2 linked regions of the Notamacropus eugenii genome follow. The protein of the gene in region 2 interacts with the protein of the main gene of each other region in a biochemical or structural test. Links are inferred from orthologs where the notes say so. Each region holds a gene or a part of one and is shown on either strand. Other genes may lie near its edges.

The links.
Region 1: of the proteins of AMFR (region 2) and HERPUD1, one has a biochemical effect on the other in vitro, tested with the Homo sapiens proteins (6 studies listed by BioGRID and IntAct, with this or other methods). The link is inferred for Notamacropus eugenii from reciprocal best matches to the Homo sapiens genes AMFR and HERPUD1.

What each region holds. Positions count from the first base shown.
Region 1 is NC_092872.1:474,457,284-474,472,720, reverse strand, and holds the start of HERPUD1 (homocysteine-responsive endoplasmic reticulum-resident ubiquitin-like domain member 1 protein), read right to left. Parts: upstream 7,611-15,437; 5' UTR 7,401-7,610; coding exon 7,266-7,400; exon of another isoform or gene 7,179-7,265; intron 6,854-7,178; exon of another isoform or gene 6,753-6,853; intron 6,485-6,752; exon of another isoform or gene 4,727-6,484; intron 3,347-4,726; coding exon 3,269-3,346; intron 3,179-3,268; coding exon 3,113-3,178; intron 1,655-3,112; coding exon 1,521-1,654; intron 1-1,520. UniProt on the Homo sapiens protein: Component of the endoplasmic reticulum quality control (ERQC) system also called ER-associated degradation (ERAD) involved in ubiquitin-dependent degradation of misfolded endoplasmic reticulum proteins.
Region 2 is NC_092872.1:473,918,402-473,933,437, forward strand, and holds the start of AMFR (E3 ubiquitin-protein ligase AMFR), read right to left. Parts: upstream 5,427-15,036; 5' UTR 5,110-5,426; coding exon 4,831-5,109; intron 1-4,830. Other genes in the region: NUDT21 (cleavage and polyadenylation specificity factor subunit 5), read right to left, coding at 12,333-12,354, 13,053-13,167, 13,920-13,995. UniProt on the Homo sapiens protein: E3 ubiquitin-protein ligase that mediates the polyubiquitination of lysine and cysteine residues on target proteins, such as CD3D, CYP3A4, CFTR, INSIG1, SOAT2/ACAT2 and APOB for proteasomal degradation.

The sequences.
Region 1 (15,437 bases), about 540 kb from region 2:
ATATCTAATTCTCTGTATTTATACCCACACACACATTTCATAAGCAGAGGCTACTGAAGGGCAGAGTCTACACTTGGTTTTTGAAGAATGTTTCTGAAAAGTGACATTTTTGTTTGTTTAAAGCTATCTAGGGAATGGCAAAAGAAACTCCATTTCAGCCTTATTAGTAGAATGACTGTTTTCTGCTTAATTCAAATCAAAAGGTAATTGAATGACCAACACTGAAATTTTTGTCCCCTTTCCCACATTGCAACAAAAACCTTTCCCAACCAAAAGAGAAAATAAAACATTCTAGATTTTCAGGATGATTATTTAACCTTTAGTAGATTGCTCCATAATTCCATTTGAACCAAAATGACCTTTAAGTTTATTTATAGATCCTATATAAATAAGTAACAAAGCACAAAAACTATCAAGCCTCCCTACTTTATGCATAGAGCTTGGTCACATGCTTGCCCACCCGGCCATCGTCAGAGAGAGCACACACAGTGTATAAAAAAAAATGCCTACTCTACTAAAAAATCCAAATCATCCCTGTCACATTGGGTAATACAGTGTGTGCTACTATGAAAAGGGCTTTGATATCACTTAAATTTGAAAGAATGAAATAAAACTTAATAGAAGAGGTTTTTCATGTAAATATATAATAAAATCAGGCATCCATTGTCAAGGGCAACTTTTTTTTCTTCCAGAACCCACAGGTTTGTAAACCTATTTTATTTTCTTTCTCCCACGTTTAACTATATACATATCCAGTGCCATTACAGTTGTACTCAATTAGAGAAGAACATATCGTTTATACTCTTGTACTTCTGTACTCTACAATTCTCCTGTTTTAAAGAACTTAAGCATGATATATAACGTTTCCCTTTTGCATTAATCTATCACTCCTTGGTGGGATATATAGTGTGCTCTGTACAACTTAGGGTACCACAATGGCTTCCCAATATTTCAATCTAGTAATTTCATTTTATACCTAAATTGTCTTGAAAAATAACCTAGTCAATTTATTCCTCTGAAATATGGTTTCAGAACAGCATCTAAAAGCAAATTAATCTACAGAAACTACTTTAAGGATAATTTGAAAAGAATAGAAGAAATTTTCAGGCTGCTCAAATTATTTCTACATTTAGAGCATTGAGAGTGGCAAATTAACAGCTTAATTTTCCACAAAGGCTTTGTGGAGACTGTTGTTATCAAACAAAGCAAAACTGATAAATGATGACTTGCTGGTAAAGGATCTATCCAAATATGTGTGCACATCACTTATGTAGCAAATATAGTCCTGAAAAGTTATATGTAAATAGAGATCACTGCAGCAGCTCCTAACTTGGGCAGGAAAAAAAGCTTCATATATTTATTCTCATTAACCTATAACTGAAATTTAGCAGTTTCTTCAAGTATGAATATAGGCAAAACACTTACCCATTTTTAACATTCAGATTTGTAGAGTTTTCTTAAATTGGAAACTGTACTTGGTGTTTGCAAAAACAACCTCCATGTTTAAAGCATACACTCACCTTGAATTATTTTCCCATGCAAGTGGAGAAGGATTATGAAGAATATCCCTTTGCCTTAATCCACCATTTGAGGAGTCTACAGAAGAAAGTTGGTCTTGATTCAGTCCAGTAGGCTGCTCACTGGATTCAGAAACCTAAGTAATACCAATATGAATGTTGGAGGTTTAATTCAGAATGTAGCTGATGCAATATTAAGAAATAGAGCTTACAAAAAAGAAAGAAAGAAAGATAGCTTAGAGTGGTTTGGGGTTTTGTTTTTTGATGGGGAAAGAGGAAGGGTTTGCAAATATTTCCTGATCTTGTGATTTTCCTTTCTACAACTAAACTTTATTTTTTTATGCATCCAGTGGAATCAATTGAAAATGAACATGACTTTTCAATTAATTTTTCCCCACACTTAGACAGGCATCATAATGTTGTAGAAAGAGTACCAGATTTGGAGGCATTACACACCCTGGGTTTGTATTTTGCCTCTGACACTTACTAGCTATTGGGCCTATAAAATTCAGTCAGTTAGCCTCCCTGAGCATCAGTTTCTTCATTTGTAAAAAAGGGGTTAACAACATTTCTACTACCAACCTTACTAGGTTGTTATGAGAAAAGCTTTTGTAAAATAAATTGAGTTTCACCATTATTTAAGTTTCAAGTTGTTAAACACAGTACTTTGTCTATGGGTACTAAACAGCTAATACTTTCTTAATGTAAGCATTTTTTGGTTTCACTCAATCTAACAAAAGGCCTTAAACTAGAAGGTCATAAAAATCTTTGAGAATGATCTGAGGAAAAGCTTGGATATCTTGTTTCAATGCCTTAGTTTTACAAGTGTGAAAACTCAGGTCTAATGGTGAGAACATTTCCTGATGATACAGTGCATCTTTAGCACAATTGTATATGATAAATACAATGCCAAATGAAATTCCAAACACTGTTTTTTGTATTTAAACCTATCAAGTTCATCTATACAACACAGTCAAAATTCCTAGAATACTGGGGTCTTCTGTATCATTGTGTTTTTTAAAAATAAAACTTCGGATAAGAAAAAATTTAAGATTTCTATTTCCAAGAATAATTATTTATCCCTTGGGAAACAATGCTGAATACCTGCTTCTGAGTCTAACATGTTTAAGGGTTCTATAATCTATAAAGATCTTGGTTTTTGGATAACCAATTGAATATTCCATGTTCACATACTAATGTCAAGGAAAATAATTTGCAAAAGATAGTCACTCATTTACCTTCTATCAAAAGTTGAGCACTATGCTATGTCATACCTTAAAATGGTCTAAATGCAATAAAAATATATTACAAAATCCCTGCTAGTTCATGAATTTGGTTATGCAAGTATATGTAGATCAAATAATATTCTTGTTCATATTAAACTGTTTTCTTTCCTGCTGACATCTGTATTAATATTTATATACTGTCACTTTATTTTTAAAGTACCATTTCTAATTTCTGATCCTTCCTGGGAAAAGAGAAAAAAAGAACATATTACAGCTAAAAAATGATAACTTGAGAGTTTAAACTCAACTGCTTTTTTGCTCAAGAGTCTGGGTGACATTTTTCAAAGCAATATGAAAAACTAGACTTACCTTTTCTGGCATTTTTGAAGGATTTCTTATACTGCAAACCAAATGAAGGACATGCCGTTTTTCATGCTAAAATTAGAAAAAAAAACCCATATAAGGTCCTTATATGCTGAATTGAACTTGGTAGTATATTCAAAAGTTAATTTATAAGTAACATACCTTAGGTAGTATATCTCTGAGATAAAGGTGATCTAACAGCAGCTTTCCTGAATAAATTAATCTCTGGTCCTCTTCTCGCTTATTGAGGGAACAGAATGGAAATCACAATTCAGTTTTTAACTGTGGCAGGTCAATTCCCTATATACTGAACAACCTCTTCTGCATAAAAGTATTGGATATGCTGATTTTCCTCAAGTCTCTCCAGAAAAAAATCCTTCCAAAGGTACTGCTTTAACATCTATAAAAATATTAAATTTAGGAAGCATATTCAACTGACCAGCAGTTCTCACTGATACCCAATATTTAGTAATGCAAAATTCTTTCCACTTCTAAAATTCATAGGAAAAAATGGCTTTTTAATTTCTAGTTATCCTACCACTGAATCTGGAACTTGTTCCGGAAATTATATACAATCTGTACTTTTCAGTCAGAAAAGCAGAATCTGAATTAGGTTTCCAAGACTATATTTTTAAACTTTAGTTTCCACAAAAACCAGGTAGGACTATGTAACACAGATCTCTTTATCATTTTACCTCCAGGAAGAAGAAATTTCCAAATGACACTTAAAAGATTCCTGCAGTTAGTCCACTGAAATATGTCAGATAGGTAGACAGATAGATGCACGCATGTACGCGTGCGCACACACGGATTTGTCTATCAGATTTTCTTTTCCTTGGGCACCTTTTAGAAGTGGCTTAAATTTACAAGGTTTCCTAACTGGTCTCATGTAAATGAATCTTGCCTTATTTAAAGGTAAGAGGTCTTACAATTTTTAACAAAAAACAAACAAAAGAATGTATGAATTACAGGATTTAAAATGTAATAGTTAATACCTGATGGATATAAAACCCTTAAAAAAGGAAAATATCTCCCGCAAATTCTAAGTGAAGATAATACCTTTTCCCCCAAAAGTTGCAATATCCTTAGAAAGGCAGTGTAATAGAGTGGAATCAAAAGATCTTAGTTCAGACCTCATCTTACCAGCTATTTGATTTCTCTGGGTCTCAATTTCCTCATTTGTAAAATAAAAGGACTGGACTAGTGTAGTTCTTTATCATTCTAAATCCACAGGATCTTGATCTTGCATTTTTTATTCTCATTTGGTATTGATTTTGATATTTGCTCTCACAATTTGATTGTCTTGACTCTATTAATTTGGAAATGATTCCATTTTAAGCAACCAGTTCCTATTTGTTAAAATATAATCAATTTCATTTCTCTAATAATGCTATTTGGTCCAAAGCCTCCTGACTCTCTTCTCATATAGTACCACTGATTATGAGGCTTCTATATAGTCTGCAAGCCTTTATTTAAGCTCTCTCCTTTCTACTTCCAAAACCATATTTTCCAACTTTTTTTTGCTGTGTCCCAAACTTTGCATTTATACTACTGAGATAATTTGATTTCTATGCTGAATTTGGAGGGAGAACTTTTATCAAGTTCATTAAATTCCTCTACCTTCTCAGATCTTCAATAGCTGTTAGTGCAGTAAGTTGGAGCTATCTTCACAGAGGCCTCTTGTAAATGTTTGTCACGAACACTGTGATATTAGATGGCCAATGTTCCATGAAATGATGCTGTTCTTGTTGTCTTGGATGAGCACTAATTCCATTAGTTCCTTTATTTATTTCTCCAATAAAAGCCATTCTTCTATTTAACTACAACTTCCTTTTGTCTTCTGGTTTGATTTCTAAGGAGAATGTCAAGGTTGATATGATTCTTTTCTAATGGGAGGTACTTTTCTTTAGTCATTAAGTAAGGATTTTCTCTTATTTAAAATATCAATAGTTAAGCCTATACATTAAAACCTATAAATGTTCTAAAAAACTATTAATTCTTAGGATTCTTCTTTCCTCTCCCCCTTTTTTCTGCCATTCCAGATATGAAAGTTGGTTTCAGGAAACTCAGAAAACTGAGCACCATTTTGTATTTTGATGTTTACAGGCTACTATGACCAAAGAATTTCTCATCCAGGAGTCCGCCTTCTGGGGATGAAATGAGTCTCGAGTGGCTGAGCTGTGCCAGAAAACTGACATAATCTGTTGCTGGGACTCTCCTCCAAGTCTTTTCTGGCAGAGACTCTCAAGAGGTTGTGCTTTGTTGACTAAGCCTTCAAGAACCCAGAGTCACCTAAGCAATGCAGTAGGAGTTTCAGGCATTTATAAACTTGAAAGTTCCATAAATACCAGCTCAAAACAGTACCTGGCATAGAGCATGGAGTATTTAATAAATTCTTGTGGCTTTACCTTACCTATCATTACTCTATGTCACTAATTAATATATTTAACAAAATCACAAAATCGAATGTTTTCTTACAAAACAAAAAATGGCAAACGATTTTGAACAATAAGCCAAACTAAATCTTGAAGCCTGGAAAGAAAGTAACTGCATTAAAGCAAAGGAAAAAATAACTACCCAGATGTTCTTAAGTTTCAGAAAGTTTTAACTTCTTTCTTCTTAACTTTAAATAAAATTGAATGTATTGTGCTGTAACAGTTTCTAAAACAGATATTCTGTAATCCTTTCCTGCCACCTTGGTTCTTTTTGCTCCCCATAATTAAGAATTATATAATTGGAAGCAAACACTACTATTGCCTATTACATAAGGCCACAGGGTAAATAAACAAAGGCTCCAACAACTCATACATGATCACATGAGGGAGGAAGGGCTTCAGATAAAAGGAAAGGTTGACAACACACCCAAACAAGAGAAGACACTGCCATCATGGCACAAAGTCCCATTGCTTCAGAAAGAGTTCATCTCAGATAACCACCCAAACAAGAAAATGCCTCTGTACCAGCAAGAACAAGGACCTAGCTAGGTACACAGCAACTGGAATAAGGAGCCAGGAGAAAGGAAGGTGGGAGAGAGGAGAGCAGACTTTTCAAGCCAAGTCTTTCCCAGTGAGGGTAAACCCAGGATTGTCATAGTATCAATACTGAGAAGGATGAAGACAAGTCAGTGTTAACACTGAAAAGGATTTGGAGACCTGCCCACTGTTTGTCTATAAATTTGCAGACACAATTATGTAACAGATGACACAAAGAACATTAAGAAACTTTATAATTTTTTAAAGAACTATGTTGAGGACATTGGAGAACATCTAATCCAGCCACTTCTTTTACTCGGGAAAAAACTGAGGTCAAAGAAGGGTGAAGCTCAAGGTCACAGAGTCCTGGGGCAGAACTGGAACCAGAAACCCAGGCTCCTGGATTCCCTGCTTTTCTGCCCCCACCCCACCCCCATTCCTCTAGTACTGTTTCCGCTCCGTGGGGGTGGAACAGGGAAAGATTTGGGTTGGAGAAAGGCGGACAAGTGGGCTGAGGCAGATGGAGGATGAAGAACTAGGGTGAGAGGTGGATTGGGTGGATGGGTGGGAGGGAGAGAGACTGAAGGACATCTAGGTGGAGAGGTTACTGGAAAGGACAGACTCCAGGAGGATGAGGAACTGCAGGGAGTTAAGAGGGAAGCAGATGAGAATTGTGAGGGGGAGGGAATGGAAGAGTTAAGGGAAGTGGACTGGAGCGAGGAGATGGAGGAGAGGAAGAGGAGGCGGTAGAGGCCGACAGCAAGGAGGAGACCTGGTGAGAAAACACAGATCTTCGGAGGTGGGGGAATTGTGGAGGAAGACAGGCATGGAAGTTGGGAGACATGAAGGCGGGGAAGGGGTGACAGGAAGGGAGTTAGCGAGCAGCAGAGAGGAGGAAAGGGAATTGCGGGCAAGGCGCGGCGGGGGGACTCGGTGACAAATGGACAAGAAGGCAGGGGACAGTTGCTGACCAGAGGGAAAGGGGCGGGTGGGGGTGGGGGAGGACGGCGGGGGGAAGAGGAACAGCAGAAACAGGTGACAGCTGCTGCAGAATCGGGGAGAGGCCTAGCCGATCTCTAAGGTTCCCCCCACCCCCTCAGCTCTGAATCGCCCCTTGGGAGCGGCGCAGAGGCCAGGCCAGGCCGAGAGCGCAGGGAAGCAAGCTGGGCCATGTCCCCCGGCCTCACCGGTCGCTCGGGGTAGACGCGGCTCAGGTGAGCCTTGAGGCGGCCCACGCTCCAGTTCAGGTCCCCGCTCAGCTCCAGGTCCCGGTGCCGCTGGTTGGGGCTCTTCACCAAGAGGGTCACAGGCTCGGGCTCCATGTCTTCTGGGTTCCCAAGGCTCGGCTCGGCCCGCAGCGGCCTGAGCGGACAGACTAGAGGGCGGTGCCGCCGCCTCTGCTCCCACCCTAGCCTGAGACAAACAGCCGAACGAACGACAGTTTCCTGCTCTGGTGCGCGCGACCCCAACCCAGCCGCCTTTTATGGGCAGCCCCTCCCCGCCTCTGCGAACGAATACACTGGATACACTGTGGCTGAAGTCTATTGGCTGAAGCCGAGGGTCAGCCCCAACGTGGCCCAATCGGAGCGCAGATCCACGAATGGGGAAGAGAAGCTGGGCTGCTGTTCCTAGCCGCTGGACCAAGTAGGGCGGGGCCGAGAGGAACTCTGAGGACAGACTGATGCAAGAGCCTGGAGTTGCGTCACCCTGGAGCACAGTGAGGCTTAGGACTGGGACTTGGGGCTCAGGGGCGTTGAGGCTGGTTTTCCTTGAACCTCGTCCCATCAGGCGGCTGAACTCTGAAGTGACCATGGCCAGTATCCCAGCCTGCGTCCACAGCCTCGAAATCTCTTTGAATGGTTTCGTCATAATGCATAATCCTTGCCCTGCCAGCCCCCTGACCACAGACGATCCCCCGACCTGCCTTAGATGATACCTTTGCCCTTTGTTTCAAAACCCTTCTGTCTGATTTTTTGGCAAATTTCCTCACATGTTCATAAAGCATTTTTATCTGGATCCCTACTTTGACACGGTTACTTCCTACCTTCTAGTATATGTTATCTGTGTAGATAGATGTTAGTTAGCTCCTTGTGACTTCGTTGTCTTTGTCAATCCAGAGCCTTGCGGTGCTTTACTCATACCTGGTGCTTGACAAACGTTTATGACGTCAGATTGAACTTGGTGGTTCAGCCCACAGGCCTTCAAGGGCTAGTGTGTCAGAAAAGACAAAGGCTATGCCGGTCTTAAGAAATCCCAAAGTCATAGTATAGGAGAATTTAGACCTTGGAAGGATCTTAGGAATCATCTCATTTCAAAGAGGCAGAAACAAAGTGAGGGGAAGTAATTTGACCAAAACTGCACAAGGAGTTAAGTAGGGTGACCTTGGAGACCCTGGTTTTTAGCTGGATTTGCCACTTGTATATTATCTACATGACCTCATCAGATCACTCAACCTTCCTAGGCTTCACAGCTTTCTCACCTGTAAAATGAGTGTGTTGAACTAGAGAGCCTCTGAGATTCTTATGGTAGAGTAGTGATTCAAACCCAGATTCCAAATCCCAAATTAATGGGTGTTTTCCACTACATCTGAATGGTCTTAATCTAGGAATACCATTCTTTGAAACAGGGTTTCTTAACCTTTGTGTGTGCATGTCATGGACCTGTTTAGCAGTCTTGTAAACACTATAGATCTCTTGTCAGAATCACGTTTTTAAATACATAAAATAAAATACATAAAATTGCAATGGAAATAAATTATATTGAAACACAGTTATCAAAATATTTAAGAAACAAAGTCACCATCTTCAGGATAAGACTACCTGATTTTAAAGATTTGCTGACAGAGTTCTTTCCTCCAAACAGTTGCCAAATTCATATTCCTAAAGCACAGGTCTGAGGATGTTTTTCCCTTGCTCAAGATACTTTGTTACAAAATACAGACTCCTTTGTTTGGAGCTTAAAGCTCTTCACAATAAGGACACAATCCACCTTTCTGGCCTTCTTTCACTTGATTTCGCCATCAAGTATTCAACATTCCAGTTAAACTGGCCTGTCCTCAGCATTCCATCTCTTGATTTAGTGCCTTTGAACAGCTTTTCCCCTTACTTGGAATGCACTTTCTCCTTACTTCTACCTTTCTGAATCTTTTAACTTCCTTTAAGCCTCAGTTCAAATGCCACGTTCCAAAAGAGACCTTTCCTGATCACATCCCCAATTAAATCCCCCCCATGTTACATTTTCCTTTTTTTTAAATTAGGCCTTTGATTTTATTGATATTGAGAAATCCCAGATAAGAAAAATCCTTCTGTCACTACAGATCTGGACCTGTTCTATAACTTATGGTTTTCAAGAGTATCAGAGTATTTTGATTTGCTTAAGGTCACACAGCTGGTGTGTGTCAGAGGTGGCCACTTAACCCAAGACTTCCTGACTGAGAGGCTGCCTCACTATCTAGTATCCCAACCTGTCTCTCATTACTTTGCATTTTGTATTTACTACTCCATTCTTGTAGACATTGTTCCTACCCCATCTCACTTAAATATAACCTCTTTCAGATCAAAGACTTTTGTTTTATTTTTGTATCCCAATAATAGGGGATTGTTGTTGACCTCATTTGGGATTTTCTTGGCAAGATACTGGAGTGGTTTGCCACTTCTTTCTCCAGCTCATTTCACAGTTGAGAATAGGGTTAAGTGACTTGCCCAAGGTCACACACCTAGTGAGTATCTGAGACCAGATTGGAAGATGTCTTCCTGATTCCCCACCCAGTGCTCTATTCACTGTGATGCTCCATAATAGGGGATAGTGCCTGACATTTAATGAATGCTTGGGGAATGATTAAAAGTCTAGAGTCAATGTAGTGCTATGGGTATTCTCTAGGAGTCCTGATATAATCCTCTAGGATAGGAGAAAGAAAAATGGGAAAATATTAGGGGAAAATTCATTCATTTCTGGTTACTAAAAATAGTTTCATAATTTTTAGAACTGGAAGGCACCTAGAAAGGCATAATACAGTCTCAAAATCCCATCAAAAAAAGTAAAATCTCTAGTACATTCAGTCTTCAAAGTTCCAATGTCAGCACATGGTTTTCCAGGAGAATTGATAGCAACTTTATCAATAGAAACAGAGAAATGTTAGTAGGAGAATGCATGAAGAGGTGGGAGCAGGATGGAACAATCAAGGGCCCAGAATCATAGGGTCCTAGGATTTTTAGAACTGAGAGGAGACTTAGAGATTATCTATTTCAACTCTCATTATTATATCAAACTGGGTTTTGATGGTTCAGAGTGAGTGTAAATAGCAATTGTTTCTGTTCTGGCCAGAAATTCTGAGGGGCTTATACTCCCAGACTGATTCTTTTGGCAAGTCAAATTAGGCCATCTTTCATCTCTTTTCTTATCTAGCCTGAATCACTGAATGGAGATTGCCTCAGACAAACTGAGACCTGGGAAAGACCTTAGCTTAAAAATTTTGAGCTTGTACTTCCTAAGCACCTTGCATGTGGAATGTTGTACCCCGATTCTGGGGAATATTTAGTACCAACTACTCTTACTTTGTAACTTTCATAAATATCCATTTCTAGTAGCTAATTAACTCTGGCTAGCTAATTGATAATCACTGTGAATGATGACTTATGAATAACAGTAAAAGACCTTCTCCTCCTCACCCCAACCCCCTATTTTTGAATTTCCCTCTGGGGTCTTAGTCAGTCAATGTCACTAGAGGTTGGAGGAAGTAGACTTGGTGAGGATGCTACAAATGGATGTGGTTTTATTAAAGGAAATGCCCACTAAAGAAGACGCATTTACATCTGCTTTGCTGCTTCACCCTAAGGACCACCGGGACTTTCCATCTGACTAGTAGCTGAAACCTTCCTGTCTGTTTTCCCCAATTAGAATATGAGGTCCATGAGAACAGGGACTGTTTTGTTCTTCTATGCATACCTCCAGTACTTTATACATAAGTGCTTATTAAATGCTTTTTCATTTATTCATTCATTTCATTTATTCACTTATTCATTCATTTTGAGCTCATCTAGTTTAGTCCCCTTATCTTAATGCTGAGTGAATTGAGGTCCATAGAGATGAAGCAGTGTATTCAATTCACACAGGGAGTAAGTAGCAGTTCTGGGATTACAATCCAGGTCCTCTCATTCCAAATCTAGGGCTATTTCCACACCAATGTGATTCAGATGGAAAGGAGCCAGTATAAACTGTCTCAGACAATAAGTCATCTTAGCTAACCAGTTTTAATTTAGATAGGAAGATTGTGTTTTCTTTCTTGGCTTTTAGTGTAATAGAAAGAACACAAAATTGGAAATCAGAAGAGTTTGATTTGAGCCCTATTTCTGATGGTTCCTAACTGTGTTACCTTGGGTAAGTTGCTTAACAAATCAGAATTTCCTCATCAGCAAAATAAGAAACATAAGGCAAAATGGTGTAGTGGATAGAGCACTGGATTTGGGGTCAGAGAGTCCTGGATTCAAATTCTGCTTCAGATAGCTACTCCTTGTATGAGTTGGGTAAATCACTTAACTTCTCTGAACCTGTTTCCTTGTCTGTAAGATGAGGGGATATGGACTCGATGACTTCTTAAACTTTATTCTTCCAAATCTATGATCCCATGAATGTCCCATGATTCAGAAACCACAAATGCTTACACTACCTATATTATAGGGTTGTTATGAGAAAATTGCTTTATGAACATTAAAGCTATACAGAAGTGAGGTCTTGGGAGAGAGAAACAATGAGAGAGACAGAGAGAAAAAGAGAGAGAGAATGTGGGGACTGGATGAAGTCTTAAAAGGCAAATTCCTCAAGAACAATGGTGGTGTGCCTTCTCTGTATTCTATAGAGGATCCAACAAGAAAGGATCAATAGTTTGGGTGCCTTTTTGCATTGTTTGAAGCTGAGTGCTGGGTATAAAGACTCAAAACTTTTAACTATTATACAGCAAGGAAAACAGTTCCACCTACCTAGTTCCCAGACCTGCTCTTTCTTGACTCTAGTCTTTACATATTTAATGGGTTCATGTGGCACTTCATTATAGTACTTCACAATCTCATGTAGAACATATGGCCGTCTACTTACTCTCTGGGCAAACTTGCTCACTCCAACCTGCTCTCACATTGGCAGGTCTAGGTTCCCAGAGAAGGAACCCATGTTACATGGCTACACACAAACTCTCTCAGAGCTCTAAGGATAACTCCTTCTACTCGCCACTCTAGTTCTTGAGCCCCCATTATTGTGCTTCTATTTATAAAAAAAAAAAAAACAACCCAACCATTCACAATAATAACACCATTAGATGTTTAACATCATTTACTTAACAATAATACAAAAGAAACTGTCAACATCACAGGTGCTTCTATATTAAAGCAAATTCAAGAATAATATATATATATATATATCATAATCTACACTCTATCTACTGTGCCACCTAGATAAATCATATTTGTATCTATCTTCCCAGTATGCTACAACTTGTCACATTAAAAAATAAACCCCTCTCACGACTCTGAAGCAGAGAAATTGTAACTCTTAGAACTCAGAGGAGACTAAACTTAGCAACAAATGGCTCAATATGAAAGGGGACTATCTCACACATAACCAGGTCATGAACTCTAAACTGATTTGTACTGGAAAGAACACTGACTCTAAAGTCCAAAGACCTAGGATCAAATTCCACTTCCAGTGATGACTCTCTCTCTCATCTTGGGCAAACTGTTCCTTATCTGTAAAAATAAAAAGGTTCCTAAATGGCCTAAGAAGTTCCTCCCAGCTCTAAATTCATAATTTTATGCCCGGTGTTCAAATACTAGCTCCACCAGTACTAGCTGTGTGACCTTAGCCAAATCATTTCACCTCTGTAGGCTTGCTTCTATTTCTTTCACTGCAAGATGAAAGAATTGGGTTAGTTGATTTCTAAAGCCCCATCTAATTCCAAATCCTATGCTTCTGTGATCCTATGAGTATGGAGATCCCACAATGTTGCTACCAATTCTGTCAATATCTCTGACAACCAGAAGGGGTATCTTCTTTAGTTCAGTTCAACAAGCATTTATTAAATATCTACTATGTGCAAGGCATTGTATTAGATATGGGTAATACAAAACAAAAAAAAGAGTCCCTGCCCCTAAGGATCTTACCTTCTACAGAGAAGACAAAATGTACACCAATAAGTATAAATGAATATAACTAGAGAAAGAATTTCAATAATAGCATGCTAGGAGAGCATTAAAAAGCTTTCAGGTAGGAAGTGATACTTGTGTAGATTTTTGAAGGTAGCCAGGAATTCTACCTGCGAGCTTATAGGTTTTATGGATTTAGTGACAGAAGAAGCTTTGAAGTTTATCTACTCTAGTTCCCTTATTTTTGTTGTTGTTTAGTTGTTTCCGTCCTGTATGACTCTTTATGACTCCATTTGGGATTTTCTTGACAGAGATACTGAATGATTTGCCATTTTCTTCTCCAATTCATATTACAGATGAGGAAATTGAGGCAAACAGGGTTAAGTGACCTGACTAGGGTCACATAACTAGTAAGTGTCTGAGGCCAGATTTGAACTCAAGAAGAGGAGTCTTTTGACTCCAGGCCTGGTACTCTATCTACAGCACCACCTAGCTGCCCCCTGCTCCCTCATTTTGCAGATTAGTAAACTGAGGCTCAGAGAGACCAAGATTGTAAATTGGAAAGTCATGGATTGGAAATCAGCTCCTCTGAATCCCAATAACGTGCTTTTTCTACATGAATATTAAATTAGCAGAACTGCTAGTTGAAGCAATATGAAATAAGTCTGGAAAGTGAGCGTGGACTAAGATTGTACACCCCCTCTTCACCTCTGTCTCTAGGAATCCTTAACTTCCTTTGGGGGTCAGCTCAGGTGTTATTCCCAATAGAAAACTGTTTTTGATTCCCCTAGTTGTTAGTACTCTCTCCAGGAGCCACCAAGTTCAACCCAAATGTCCCCCCCAAAAAATCCCAAATCTTCACAGCATATCCACTGAAGGTATTTATTCCAGTCTTTGCTTAAAGGTTTCTAATTAGGGGGCAGGCATTGCCTTCTGAAGTATGCCATTGGTCATGTGACCAGCTCTAATTGTTGGAATTATATCATTATATCAAGCCCAACTTTGATAATATTTAATATCATTTTTGGACTTTAATAAGGGCCAGAGCTTGAATTAAGAAGAACTTGGACCTAACAGTCTCTTTGTTCTCTGAAGTAAACTCAGAGTAAACTTCCTATGTCAGCAAGGCCAGATGGGGCTGACTTAGCATTCCTTATGAGACCCTGAACCTGAGACACTATCTGGAATAGTGGGACTTATTTTTAAATATCTTGTGGACATGTAGTATGTTATGACATGTTAATGATGGAGAAAACACTTGTTCTGAGTTGTAATTTCAATCAACGCTGTCAACTCTCTTATCTTATGTATTTAGAACCTATCCAATTAAGAAATTCTGGTATAGTTAATCACTCATGCAGACCATAAATTTGAAGGACACAGACAACCTTGGATTGTCCTAAAACAGATTTAAGCCTGGTCATTCTTGTATTAGTCAGAAGTTTTTCTGGCTCCATGATCATATAACCACTAGCTTTAAGGGAATAAATATGCATTTAGCCTGTTTGCCTTTTTTAACAAAACTTTCAGGTTGACAACTTCTACTCCTTGATTCTTGCAACATGTCCCTCTGGGATGCTGTTAAGTCCCACAACAGCAGTAAAGAAGTCTTGCCTAAACTTTGAAATACCCTGTAAATAACCAGGACAGTGTTCTATACGTAACAGATGCTTAATCTACTAGTCTAGTTGAACTAAGTCAACTCTGCTTTCTTTTTTAAATCTCTTTTCTGTATCTCTCATTTGATCTTTCCCTGGGGATGGAGTTATGCCAGAAGGTAGATATCTTCATCAGCATCTTGTGACTCCTCCCACCTGCCCATCAGATCCATTAACACAGTGGGTCGTTAGTTGTTGGGTCCTATTTTAGGTCCATAGGCTCATACACTGAGACCCGAAAAGGATCCTAGAGGGTTCCATGGTTTAACCTCCTCATCTTATAGATGTGAAAATAGAGACCCAGAAAGCTTTAAGTCCAAGGGAGGCCAAGCAGGTAATAAGTGTCAGAGTCAAGATTTGACTCTAGGTCTTCTGACTCCAAATCCCTTTGCTGCCTCCCAAAAGGAAGTGGCAAGCCACTCTGTGAGCGCACATAGGCTCAGTGCATGACAAAAAATGGCTTGCCTGGGAGAAGTAGCCTAAAAACATCATTGAAGATTAGAATGAGGACTGGATTTGGAGTTAGAAGACCTGGATTCAAGACCCTGGCTTTTCTACTTATTACCTGTGT
Region 2 (15,036 bases):
CACGATAGTAAATTTGTAAAATAATTTAGTATCATTCTTTTTATTTTGCTGGCATGGCTCAACAACTGAGGACTGAGCAGCCCTTTAATTATTTAAGTCTTCCTTCATTTCTGCAGTGTTTTGTAGTTTTACTTGGGAGTCTTAAGTATGTCAGGAGAGTCTAACTCCCAGATATTTTCTATCTTAAAATATATTTTAGGTTACTACAGGATGAAGAGAGACCTTAAATTACTTTAAGGTTAAACAATTTAAAAATGCTTTTGAGATTATTAGTAAATAGTCATCTCCATAACTAATATAATATCTGGCATATAACAGGTACTTAATAAATTCTTGTCGATGTTTGATTGATGGTCACTATGCCCTTTTATGTCTACTTTTTGAGCAATTCCTTAATTTGTTAAAGAGTGAGCTGGCCTCAAAACCAAGAAGATCTAAATTCAAGCACCACATCCAACACATAAATGCTGTGTGATCCCAGGCAAGTCAATTACCCTCTTAATTCTATAGCCCACTGAGATGACAAGTTTTTTAAAATATTTATTTTAGTTTTCAACATTCACTTTTATAAACTTTTGGTTTTAAGTTTTCTTCCCCTCCATTCCCTCCCCAAGACAGCATGCAATCTGATATAAGCCATAGGTGTACAACCATATTAAACATATTTCCACATTAGTCATATTGTAGAACCAAAGGGAAAAACCATGAGGAAGAAACAAAAAAAGAGAAAATAGTATGCTTCAATCTGCATTCAGACTCCATAGTTCCTTCTCTGGATGTGGAAAGCATTTTCCAACATGAGTCTTTTGAAATTGTCTTAGGTCCTTGCATTGCTGAGAAGAGCTAAGTCTATTAAAACTGTTCATCACACAATGTTACTGTTGCTATGCACAATGTTCTGGTTCTGCTCACTTCACTCAGTATCAGTTCACGCAAGTTTTTTCCAAAAAGTTTTTCTGAAGTCCACCTGGCTCATTATTTCTTACAGAACAACAGTATTCCATTACATTCATATACCCACAACTCATTCAGCCATTCCCCAATTGATGGGGAATCCCCTCAATGAGAGGAATCCCCTCAATTTCCAATTCTTGGACACCACAAAAAGAGCTACTATAATTTTTTTTTTTTACATATGGGTCCTTCTCCCATTTTTATGATCTCTGTGGAATACAGACCTAGAAGTGACACTGCTGAATCAAAGGGAAAGGACATTTTTATAGCCCTTTGGGCATAGTTCCAAATTGCTCTCCAGAATGGTTGGATCAGTTCACAACTCCACCAACAATGCATTAGTGTTCCAATTTTCCCACATCTCCAACATTTATCATTTTCCTGTTTTGTCATGTTAACCAATCTGATAAATGTGATGTAGTACCACAGAGTTGTTTTAATTTGCATTTCTCTAATCAATAGTGATTTAGATTATTTTTTCATATGACTATAGATAGCTTTAATTTCTTCCTCTGAAAAACTGCCTGTTCATATCCTTTGGCCCTTTATCAAGTGGGGAATGGCTTGTATGCTTATAAATTTGATTCAGTTTTCTACATATTTTGGAAATGAAGCTTTTGTCAGAGACACTGGCTATAAAAATTCTTTCCCAGTTTTCTGCTTCCTTTCTATTATTCTTGGTTGCTCTGGCTTTGTACTAGTATTTGTATTTATGGCAAACTAAAACTCAGCCAACAGAGATTATTTATGAGCACATGATACATGATTATATCATATGAAATTATTTCCTGAAATCATAAATTGATTAGGACATTTTTTGGTTTCCCTCCAAAAATGTAAGCACACAACTGATTTGGCTCCCACTAAAGTCTTTTGTTTGAACAAGTACTCTTCTGTACATTCGTGCCTTGAACAGTCCTAGGAATCAGAAACAAATACTGTCCCCATATTATATCAACAGCAATATTCTTCCTCATCCTTTCTAAAATGGGCATTCCTAGGTCACTAAAAGTATTTAGGTCTACATGTACTCTCCACAAGAGTGTTGGGAAAATTTTCCTTTCTTTTTATTTCTTTAATTATTTATAAAAATGTTTATTTTATTTTATTTCTAAATTATTTACCCACGTATACTTATTATTTTGTGTCATTATTATTATCATTATTATTATCATTATTTTTCTTATCTTAGTTACCTCTACTTTCAAGCAAGCAATCAATTTTTTTTTCAATGTTCACCCAAAATATTTGAAATTTGTGACTATTCAATACCAGGACATTTTAAAAGGAAAACTTTTGGATTTATTTTAGAATTTTACTTTTTATTTTTTTCATGCCCTTCTTTTTCTTATAATCTTCCCCTTAAACCTTCTACCAAAACTGCATCTTTACATTTACTGACTTCATATTCTAAAGTAAAAGTTGTATCTATTTCTCAAAATTTTTCAGGCCTTCCTCTATAAACAAAAGAGGAAAGGAAAGAGAAAAAAGGAGGTAATAAATATAATGTATCAAGAAAAAAGAAGCTGAATAATTTTTAGCTGGCCTGGTACAATAGCTCAAGAGGTACTTATAAGGATACAAAAAGCCTTGAAAAACTACCATCATGCCAAATTAACAGAAGTGTAGAGTTAAGAGAAATGAATCTGAAAATATAATAGTGCCTATTACCTTTACAAAAGGGAAAGCCAGGCAATGCAAAATAGCACACGATAGCAGGTGAAAGTAGAGACCACTGAAAACCAATAAGGAAAAAAAACCTATAGTAAAACAGAAGAGAACAAGTCAAAGAAGTCACTAATCTAAGAACCATGGAGACTCACCTTGGTGTCCTTAGGGATCCATGCCATAGATGTATCTTATAAACAAGACCAATTCATTATAAGATTATTTTAGACACTTCAATAACTCAAACTCCTCTGGGACACTACATTATACCAAATTGTTCTCAGCTCCGAACAACATTACAGTAATGTTCCAGTGCAAAAAAGCAGGTTAAGGAATAAAAAGAGTAAGAAATGAAAAAGTAAAGCAAGAACAAACCAATCTGTAAGAAGGTAAATGAAATGCAGTAAGTCAAGATTAATGCAAAGCAGAAATATGAGAAAAAGGAGAGGAAAAAGATCAACTAAGAAATGAAAAATATATCCACATACAGAAGAAATAGAAACCTCAAACTGAGTCATCTATTAAAAAGCAGACAGAAAAATGAGGGGGAAAAGACAATTTTAAAAGAATAACTCACAAAAAAATCACTAGGCTTTACCTAATATTTTATGAATATATTTAAGACTACTGGAATTTCAACAGTAGATATGTAAGAAGAAACCCCTAGGAAAAAATCACTAAACAATACCAGTGACTGTTTGTTATATAAGCACAAGAGCTACTTATCAAAGACTTATTTATATCTTAAGTTTTAAGAAAACCCCCCCCACATATTAAAGATATTATAACCTTAAAGAATTGTCAAACTCCATTCTTCCCATTTAAAGTAAGCAATTTTCAAACTAAACAAAGTACAAAACATTAATTTCACTTAAAATTTCAATGGAATGAAATGAATTCTTTCCCCACTGCTATCCTAAAAATAGCACGCTACTACAGAGTATCAGTGCTACATGGAACAAATGGACCCAGTATAAATAGAGGTAAAGAAATTTCATGTATCTTGCATATATCCCTAACTTTTAAAGTCAGGAGAATTCGAATTTCAAAATAACAAGAACATCTCTATAATCTTCTCAAGTTTATAAATCTGTTTCTGAAACAGTGGTATTAATTTGAAGGAACTGCACACACTCTTGTGATTTTGGATACCAAGTGAATAGTCACAGAGAGGCTGACACTGACCTAAAAGGGCAAAGTGAGTGACAACGAAATTGACAACGAAATTGACAGTCTCCAATCGTGGAGTAACTGTACTTGGTGCTGCATGGTTTACACGAGAAACACACACACACACACACACACACACACACACACACACACGGATATATACCCCTCTTTTAGACTGGCTATTTATGTATGGCCTTCTCGACTTTCTTAACTCCTTTCTCGGTTCACGTGCCAGCACAAGCTATATTTCTGAAAGTGTAGGTTGCCTCCGTCTGGATATTGGTTTCATGGTTAAGTAAAGAGAGAAAACCAAACACGCAAACAGGTCCTTGCTAGACAGCGGTAAAAGAGAACAAGATCTTTCAGTGAGAAAAAATGGGCCTTATTCATGCCAAGACAAGGAAGTCTACACTCAAGTCTACAATTCTGGATCACTCAGAATCAAAGCTCCTAACATTCTTCTTCCCTGTCTCTGGAAAGCTCATTAATACAGTTATACTGCTGACAACCTCTGAAATTCACGCTCCTTAAAAAAAACTCCCCAAATGTGGCTGATCTCAAGGGAAAAAAAAGTTCCCATCCACATATGGAAGCACCGGAGTTGGAATAAAAGGATGTGGAGTTCCAATTCAGCCACGAATTTTCTACCCCTGTGACCACAAGTACGTCGCTTTCCCCCTGTGGCCCTCAGTTTACTCATTTGTCTCATAAGTACACCCCCGCACGCTGGAGCGGTGACCCCGACGTTCATAAACTCCGTCTCCGCTGCCCACTCTGATATGCTGCCTCCTATCCGAGGGTGCGGGGGGGAGGGGAGGGACACGGGGTGCGGGGGTGATTGTCTTTACGTACTCAAAGGCGTCCTTTCAGGGGCGCTCTGCAGGATCCCCTAAAACATGAAGGCTCCTAACCCACAGCTCCCAGTTACCCAGAGCTGTCGATCTCCTCCAGCTCAGGCGCCCCTCGCCCGGCCCCGCCCCCACTCGGGCTCCCCTCCGAGCCCTCCGCCCTGTGCCCAGCCCCCCCGCACCCACTCACCCACACGAACAGGCTGTCGGACAGCAGGTACTGGGCCACATCTCGGGCCCGGGGGCCCCCGGGGCCCGGTAGGGCGCTGGGCTGCGGCGGCTGGGGCTGCAGCGGCTGCTGAGGCGAGGCGAGCGCCTCGGGCTCTCCCGGGCCGGCGCCGGGGCCTGGCTCGAGCTGGCTGAGGGCGCGATAGGCGCTCACGATGGTGCCCAGCAGCGCCAGGCCGCTGAGGCCTGTGTAAGTGCGGAGGCTGGGCCAGGGGAAGCGCTCCAGGAAAAGCAGCGGCATGGTGGCGGGGATAGCGGCCCTGGGCCCCGGGCCTCGCCTCGCAGGCCCCGGAGCTGCCTCCCTTCTTCCTTCCCTCCCTCGCTCCCGCCCGCGCAGCCTCCTCCAAACGGCGGCGACTGCGACGGCGACAGCGCTCCTCGGCTCTCCGCCGCTCGCTCCCGCTCCCGCTCCCGCTCCCGCTACTGCCCCTGCCGGCGCGGAAGAGCCTCGGCCACGGGGCCGGCGGCCGCCCCTCCCGCCCCGGGGCGGGACCCGACCGGCCTCGGGCCCTCTCCTGGGCCGCTCCGAGCCGCGGAGCCCAGAGCCGCCCGCCTCCAGGTTGGGGCTGAAGGCGGCGCAGCTGACCCTCCCTCCTCCGCCTCCAGAAATCATAAACCCGCGAGGGCTGGGCGGGAGATCGGAAGAGCCAAAATAGCTCGGGGGAAACTAGTCGCGGGAAGGGCCCCGAGGCAGCCAGGGCCCCAGACTTTAGAGGCGGAAACTGAGGCCCAGAGCAAGGTAGGGACGGCTCCGGGGCTGCAGGCACAGGACCGGGGTTTGGGGCTAGGAGAGGGGCCGAGAGGAGACTAGGGCCACCTGACCTCCGGCCCCGGCCAGCGTAAAGTCCGTTCGGCCCGGCCCGCGCTGTGGGCTATTCTCGGCCGGGCCGGCGCTCCGCGAGGTCCCCCCAAGAAGCTGCGGTTGCTGAGCGGTTCGACCGGTCCTCCCCCGCCGCCTCCCTTCTCACTAAGAAATTAACAGAATTATTTCGTACACTCCCGTCACCTGTTAAGTTCGGAAAGCTTCCGTCTCCTCGAGAACTGACGATTTTTAAAAGTCGAAAGCTGCTAAGCGCACCAACTCCATTCTGGAGGGAAATACGGTGGCTCTGGCGGTGGGCTGGGAGCCACAGTGCCGGAGTTCAAGTTCCTCCCTGGTGACCCTGGACAAGTCACTTACTGGCCCTCAACCTGTTTATCTGTAAAATGAAGATAATAGCACCCACATCGAAGGGTTACTCTGAGGATCAAGTGCTTTACAAATATCAGTTATCATTGGCTTCTTGGATTAGGAGCTGCATAGAACTGTAGCTGAAAGAACAGTGCCCAGCCTACAGTTTTTTCCCCAAGTTCAAATGCAGTCCCAGTAGTGTGACCCTGGGCAAGTCACTTAGCCCTGTTTGCCTGTTTCCTTATCTGTGAAATGAGCTGGAGAAGGAAAGAACAAGCCACTCCAGCATCTCTGCCAAGAAAACCCCAAAGGGGTCACGAACAGTACTTGGCTTAGAAGCGCTTCCGTCCTTTTTTCATTCACTCAACTGATGCAGATCGAACAGAAACATAACTATTTGTGCAACAACCACGGCATAGAAAAAGGGAATTGAAGAACCAGACAAAACACCACTGCCAACGAATGATTCATTGTAACTGTGAAATGAGATATTTTCCAACACACCCATCATAAATTTTCTTAGTTTTGACGGTGCTTGTTGCCAGAGGGCTTTTATTGTCAAGAACACCGAAGGCAGCAACATTGATACAAAGATGTGTCAGCAAAAAAAAAAAAAAAAAAAAATTTTAAATGCTGAAGCAAATTCAGAAGGGGACATAAACAAGTAGGGTGATGTAGGTCCTACCAGGCTGAACGTCATTTAAAAAATAAGCTTTAATACATTCGTGGTTTCACACCTAATCCCCATTTCATCACCTTTGGATATATATGGATATAGGTTCATGTTTGAGGATTTTCTTAAATCAGTTTTTTTTTTTTTAAATTGGTGCTGCACTGTCATTTTAAATTACTTTGAGAACTACCTAGAAAAAGAGGCAGTTTGCAGCCGTGGAGAGCCACTTTAGGCAACCTTAAACCCTCCTGCCCTCAATTTCATCAATAAGAGAGGTGGAACTAGAAGTTTAAAGTTATCGGTCAAATGTAATACCTACAACCTGGCTCAATACTTGTATGTTGAAGTAAATTCCCCCAACAGCCAGTTATTTATTCCCTGGGCTTAACAGAGTACTAAAAACTGAAGGTGCTTTCAACCACTTTAGTAATTTCGTCTCTAACTAGTCACCATTGTATTGGCCTCACTGCATCAAGATGACTTTTTAAGCACTTGTGCTCCCTCCAACGTTTACAAACTATGGTGTTTCCATCCCCATGATGGAGAAAAAAATGGGGAGGATCCAAGAATATTTGATCAAGGTATGAAAACTACTTGATTCAGTCCAACAAGGCCTTGTTTTATATAAGCAGTAAGAGCATAGCATTATGAACTGGAAGGAACCTTGGAGTCTCTGGTCCAACTCTTTTATTTTACAGATGAGGAAACTGAAGCCTAAAAAGGAGAAATAACTTATCTATGTCCAAACTGTTATTATAATAGCCAAGATTTGAACTTGGGTGCTCTTGAGTTCAAACCCAGCAATTCTTTTTACTACACTGAGTTACTCAAAATAAGGTAAAAAGGTAATAGTCTTTTAAGAGAATTACTGATGTGCAGGGCAACTATAAATCCTGGTACTGATTTTTAAATGAACTAAACCCTCTACTGCATACTATATTAACTCTGTGAACCTGGGCAAACTTTCCTCTTCTAAGACTTATCAGTTGCAGGCCTGCATGAAATCACAGGTACAGTTCCTATCTTAAACCCTATCAAAATCCAAGCCACAGTGCATTTAGCAATGGGAGATATTCCCAACAGGTTTAAGATGATACCCTACAATTATAAGTAAATGTTGTCAAAAGTCCTTTCAGTTTAATATTACATGTCACACTACTACTTTTCCATATTTTAAGATAACTTGACACATCCTTTTCCCTTTTTAAAAAATACGGTTTTTAAGTTCCTCTCTACATTTAGTTTTACACATATTCCACCCCCCCAATAAAATTTGCATTGTGCATAACAGCTTTCTATTTATGTTCCATTTTGCAAAGAGACTAAGCTTTCTGAACATTAAATGTAGGATTAATTTAAGTGGTTAAGATATTTTACAAGTGGGTACATATTGATGTTAATTTCAAACACCAGAACTTAATAAACCTTCTTTACCATAGGAGTTCATTTAAAAAAAAAAAAAAGGCAGAATTTCTAATGAGAAGAAGAGGTTTACTATACAAGGGGACCTGTTCCTAAACACTCACAGAATCTTTGTTTTAAATGATTTTTATTTAAAATGACAAAGGGAACAGCAATGACCTTTTAAACTAAGCTCTTGCATTCTATATGTAAAAATAAAACCAGAACTTATATCTTTACAGTTTCTAAGAATCTAATACTGCAAATAGCTATTGATGCCAAACTAAAGATGCGTACACATCTTCCTTTAAAGACGATATAAAAATTTAACATTAGCAACATTCCCGCCCTCCATGGCTTAGCATCCTAACTGGGCACATTCTTCCCTACTTACAGTTCCACCTTTATGATGTACTTTGTCACTAAAACACAAACTATTTATACAAAGCAGTACTAGCTTTTAGCACCAGATTTCAAGCAGTTTCTCAGAAAATAACAAATTTGCCAAGATGTAGAAGTGACTTGAAAATGCCATTATTAGTAAAATGGACTTTACTGACCAATTCAAATTATGTTTTTGTTCTTTAATCATTAAATGATTCAGGCAAACACCAAGAGTCCAATTAAATGCAATCAAATACTTCAGTGATGGAAGAATTATGAAGCATTACTCTATTATAAAATGCAGAGGTGGAATTATTATAGTTCTAAACATTTCTTTGAACTTTCCTTGGCAAGACACACAAAGCAGCAAGCTTCTTGAAGCTGTCTTAGAGATCAGTACAATTTGTTCCAACCATTATTAACTAACAAAAATGTTAAGCCTCTTGAAATCAGGTAATCAAAAGTTTCTCCAAGGATATGATCTCAGAAACGCTGTAGTACGTAAGAGACTAAATGCCTTAAAAAACAAGTAGGAACTGAAGAATCAACATACTTCACTTTTCTAAATTTAGAAAGGGATTTTCATTTGGAACAAGCTGTGAGTTATCAAATGGACTAGACTGTTAGCTTCTGTCATTTGGAAAACCTTATACTTTCTTACCTAAGATTGAAAAGTACAAACCCACTAAGCAAACTGAATCACACTCCCTTCATGTGCAGTTCTCAAAGGTTAAATTTTTACTTGAAAGTACTGTAACAAAGTAATTGCAAGTTGTAGGGATGGGAAAATCATTTATGACAGAAAAATTTCTCCATCTACTGCATTAAACTTGGCATTTTCTAATTAGTATTATCATACTACATTTTAATTACTTAACAAAGTTTCACAAGTCTTAGTGCTTCTAAAGACTTTTAGAATATTAGTTTATTTTTGTAGTTTCATACATAAAAAAAATTTAGGCCATATAAAATGCTTGTTTTGACACTGAAGAGATCTTAAGGCAAATAAATATAGATTCTACATTTTCTGCCCCAGTCTACTGAATACTTTAAGGGCTATTCTGAATTCACTTTTCAGTGACGATTACTGCAGCCAGAAATATTCAAACTTCCTTTGAATATTTAAAGTGAATGATACTATATATTGCAGTTTTAAAACAATCAAACAAGGAATCTAATGTCTTTTACCTGATAAGGGCTCAATAAATACTTGATAAATAAATGTCAGTGAATAGAAACTTGTTGAACAAACACACATTCATAAACCTTATTAAATAAATTTTAAATTAGTACTGTTGTTAGTTCACATATCATGGGGACTTAATGAATAATGCTTAGAAAATTTTTACATTTGTTTAATGTAGGAATATGCTTGATTTTCTATTTCCTGTAGAAATGCTGCTTTTAAAGGGACATAAAAAGTCTGCAAAAAGTGGAAAGCCTATGAAAGGACTGGATTGGGACTCGCTATGTAACTGTGGTCACCACATGGCAGCGAATAACAAGTTTAGAGGCAGCAGAAAAAAAATCAGTCCAGTCAACTGAATTATAATTTCATATAACTTTAATAATTACTGTCAACTATTAAGACAAAATTTAACTCCATTTAGCCAAAGCTAAATTCATTCAGTCCAGATTGCATGAAGTCCAGTAATATGTAATTCAGTTTATGGAATTCTATTTTTTGCCCCACTTAGCCTCTCATGTAAAGATGAGTGTGTTCACTGAAGGGCTAAAATTGTAGCTAGCATCCTACCTTGTCAGACAGGGAGTGGCTACATGGTAAATGCTGAAGGTATGAAGAACACAACTGGGCTAGAAACAAAAAAAATCTGACCAAGATTTTTTTTAATAGAAAAAAAATCATACATACTTATCACAGACACACAAAGCACTGCCCAATCTCCCACCATCAAAAAGCACATCAAGAAAGGCCCAGATGTATTTACACATGGTTTCTCTTGGAGAAGCAACTATATTCAAAGGACAGTGCAGTTTGCAACTGTCTACAGGGGAGGAATTAAAAGGGGGATAAGACTGCACTGCCTGTGAAATGAGGACAAGCAGACATAAAGCAATTATTTATATGGTTTTCCAGATCAAATCCTCCTAACTTCCTGGACAGGGCTATTCAATAAAGTCATATTCGGAACATACTGATGTCATCCAAAAGTCAGACCAATAACTCCTAAATGACTAATTAAATGGATGAATGGCACCATCTGGTCATAATAGCAAATAAACATGATCAAGGTTTCAGGTGATATTCCAGTCTATGAAAGCACATTTAGTTAGCATAGCCTCAGCTCAATTCTACAGTACTCTTCTGAAAATCAGTATATCAATTTAAGCAAAAAGCAAGTAAAAATGCATTGCTTTTCAACTATAGACAAGAGAATTTAGGAATAATGCTTAATTCCCACATGTGGGATTATTTAACAGATAATTACTGTACTAGGTATCAGAGATAATTAGGGACCCAAGAGAATTCATTTATAAGATCAATTTACTGCTGTATATTGATTTTATACCTAATTATATAAACTTTAAGCTATCAGTTATAAAAATTAGCTCTTGATTCCATTCCATTAAAGCCCATTATCAATAATTTCTATATTAAAATTTTAATTACATAAACACATCTTAAAAAATCAGAAATTATTAATTTGTATTTGGAGAAATTCCTTCATTCATAAAACTTCTCCAAATAAATTTAAACTTAATTCGGCAGATTTTAAAGTCTTCATTTGGGGGGTGTATTTTTACTTATATATATATATATATATATAAAAAGTTAGCTTTTGTCCTTTCTTCACTGCTAAATTATTTTGGATTACAAAAAATATTTTGAATGAACTTTTCAGTGTTAATATCCATGACTATGTTCTCATCAATTTACACACACACACACACACACACACACACACACACACACACACACACACACACACACTCACACTCTCTCTCTCTCTCTCTCTCTCTCTCTCTCTCACATTCTTTAGGTTAACATTTATGACGTTATATCCATGTCTCAGAGTACCAAAACAGCCAGTGAATAAAACCATGAAAATCATGTACTTAAAGGGTGTCAATTAACCATTATAGATCAATGTTTTTACTAAAGTTTTAAAAATACTTTGTAAAGACAGGTCCATATCAAATGGCATGTTTTTATATTAAACAAAATATCCTACATATAGACTTACCTTTCCATTAAATAAAAAACTGAAGAGTAGTCTCTCATTTTAGACCACCCATATCTTGACTTTGAAACACAGTCTCACCAATTTCCAAACAAATATTTGAGGGTCCCTATTTTTCTGAAGAATCCTTAGAATCCACGTGAGGAGGCCTAGATCTCAGAAGTAACTAAAGGATCTCATCATCAATCTAAAACATGATTATGCTTCAAGAACCCTTACAATGATATTACAACAGGGGCCACTGTACTTTGGTACACTAAATCTCCAGCTTTCCATTAATAACCACCAGACTAAAAGGAAATATTATGATCCTCACCTGTAAGGATTTTAAAAAAAAATTTAATATGAAGTAAAAAACGCGAATAGAAACAGGTCCACTTTGTTTAATGTTGTACAAAAAGTATGGGTAGAACCAAAAGTGAAATATACATTATCACATTTGTTTACACCACTATCTAGAACAGTTCTTCAGATTCACTTTACTATGCAAACAATATAAAGTATGAGGCAATTTGGGGAAAAATAAGGGAGAAAATGCGAACAAAAAGAAACTTCCTATTCTGTTTATTCTTCTACATTGTATAGCTGTGCTCACAGAGACGGCTTCTTTTACTCTTCCACGGCTCAGGCATTCAGTTGTAAATAAAATTGAACCTGAATTTTTTTTAAAAGAGAAAAAAAATTTTTATTTTTATTTTTTTATTAATGGGATAATTTTTATAGATCATTACTTTAAAAAGCAAAGTAACAGCTGATATTCAATATCACAAAAAAAAACAGTAAAGCAGACAGGCATAGAGAAACCCAGAACCTAGCTCACTATTTATTATGCTGTCTGTAATAGAGGGGTAACATACCAAGCATAGTCAAAGAAGTTCAACACTCTACTTTTTTTCCCCTACATTTGTACCCCAACATACTCCAACAAGATCTCTTAGTATCCTCTTCTTCTGATAAAGGACTTGAATACAAGTAATTCAGTCAAGTATTACTTCAAAATTTGCAAAATTTCAGTACCAGAATGGCTGACAGCATGTTTACAGAAGTATTTGTTTCCCTACAATTCGCTTGCATACAATTTTGCTTGCATACGTATCTAGCTGTAATACCACATGAAGTCAAAAGCTTTTCATCTGGAGCTCACCATGCCTTAATTGCCCCAAGCTATCTCTTTGGTTAAGCTGTTTATGCAATCCTAAATGTGATTACCTGGATTTCTTACTGATTTTAAAATATCATTTCTAAAATAAAAATGCACCAGAATCCAGAAAATGACTGCTTCTTGACCTTTTCAGAACATTCTAGGTCTTCAATATACATCAATGTATTATGATACTCTTGACATTCTTTACCTGCTCAAAAGCTGAGGAAGGCTGGAAATGATAGGTCCATATCCTGGTGCATTGTCATATAATTCAAACAATGGCGCAGCTACCAGTTTGTAATTTTTAGGGACTGCAAACAAGGCTAAAATTAAACAAAGAAATTAATCTTTCCAATTTTTTTTTTAAATAACACAATTGCAATTGACAGCATAATGTTTTTTAACATTTTCAAAATTAGTTTCTTGTTGGTTTCTTCTTAATGAAATTACAAAGATCTCAAAAACATTTTGGGGAAACGATTATGAAAATCTACTTCAATGACTTCATTTAAGGAATATCCTTTTATTTATTCCTTTTAAACTAACTGCCCTTATAGAACACTAATATCAACTTGAGGCACCCATTCATTTTTTAAAATTCTGGCAATCTATGTGAATTACACCCCTGTGATTTTTCTTGAAATCATAATCCTCAAAATGGATTAAAAAACTAAGGAACAATGCAGTTTATGAAAATCAATACTGATGTCTAAACAATTGCAGAGCCCAAGCTATGAGATGTGTACTCAGTGCTTAGTCAATTTCAAAGTAATCTGTATTTAGACCCAGCTACTTTAACTTTTCCTTCTACTATACTTTATGACTGGCAGGTGTGCAGCAGTGGATAGAGAATTGGCTTCAGAGGAAGTCACACCTCTGATACCTCAAGTTCAGTCAATCTTTCAGTATATTAACAAACAATATATAATTAGTATACGTGTTAAGTAGATAATTCCTTTAATGTCAAATTGATGCCTTGAAATTACCAAATCTTTCAGTTTTCTTCAAAGTTCTAAACAACTTTTTAAAAAACTAAAATAAAATATTCTGAGTCTTAGTAGTAAAACTATCTTACCTTTTTCTTGAAGCTGAACCAAAAAGAGTTTTTTGTGCTCTTTAGGCTTTGTAATATGTGCTGGAATATATGGGTACTAAAACAATAAAAGAGAATTAAAAATAAATCACTAAAAGTACCTGAATATGTAGTAGATTCCAGACTTCATAAAAAGGATAAAATTTTTAATTACTTTTAAGTAAAACTAGATTTAAAAAACAAATCTATGACTTCCCCTCCTCCATCACAAAATTAAATTTTCCAAAATTCTGATGTGCTTATTTTAAAATGTCTTCATGAAGTAGCCATTTATCAGAAAATTACACAAGGACACAAAAAAAGTTTTAGATCTTGATGATTCCCTATAGATCATCTGATGTATCCATCTTCATTTTACAAATACGGAAACTGAGATTTAAAATTATTGGCTCAAGTTCACAAAACTGAACATATGTGAGCCTGTGGTTAAAAAAAAAAAAAGCTTTATTGAGGCAGCAGGACATAGTGGTTAGAGTTGGCCTTAGAGTCAGAAGACCTAAGTTTAAGTCCCTCTCCTGTAACAGTCTGGTTGTGTGACCCAGGACAAATCATTTAACCTTTTGTCCCCCCAAGTAACTTAAGACTGAATTGTACTAGGAGAGAAATTCCTCACAGGGGTACTCTCATACTGTTAAAAATACAGATCTCAGACCCCCTAAAGTATATTTTACCCAAAGTTATCCCCACTTTGCAGTAATCTAAGGCAAACTGATTCTATCCATTAAGCAAATGAGCAATGACAGAAAGATAGAGATGGGTGAAAAGATGGTTTTACCAACTGAAGGTTTAAAAAAAAGATTCAAAAGTTCATATACATAGATGCAACTATAAATCATGGCCAATGAAAAGTGGCCTGTCTCCTATCTATCTCCCTCAGACTACATATTTATCCTTTTACAGTAGTTTCCTCCCTGACAACTTTTTACCTGATTTCACTTGTAGAAAAATATTCTATGGGGAAAGATATAGACAAGGCAGAATAGTATACATACCATGCACTCTTAGGAACTAGACAATATACTAAAGTACATATTGCTAGTTTGAACTTAAGCTCAATACTCTAAGGCCAAACCTTTCCACTTCTTGTCTTTTGACCTTT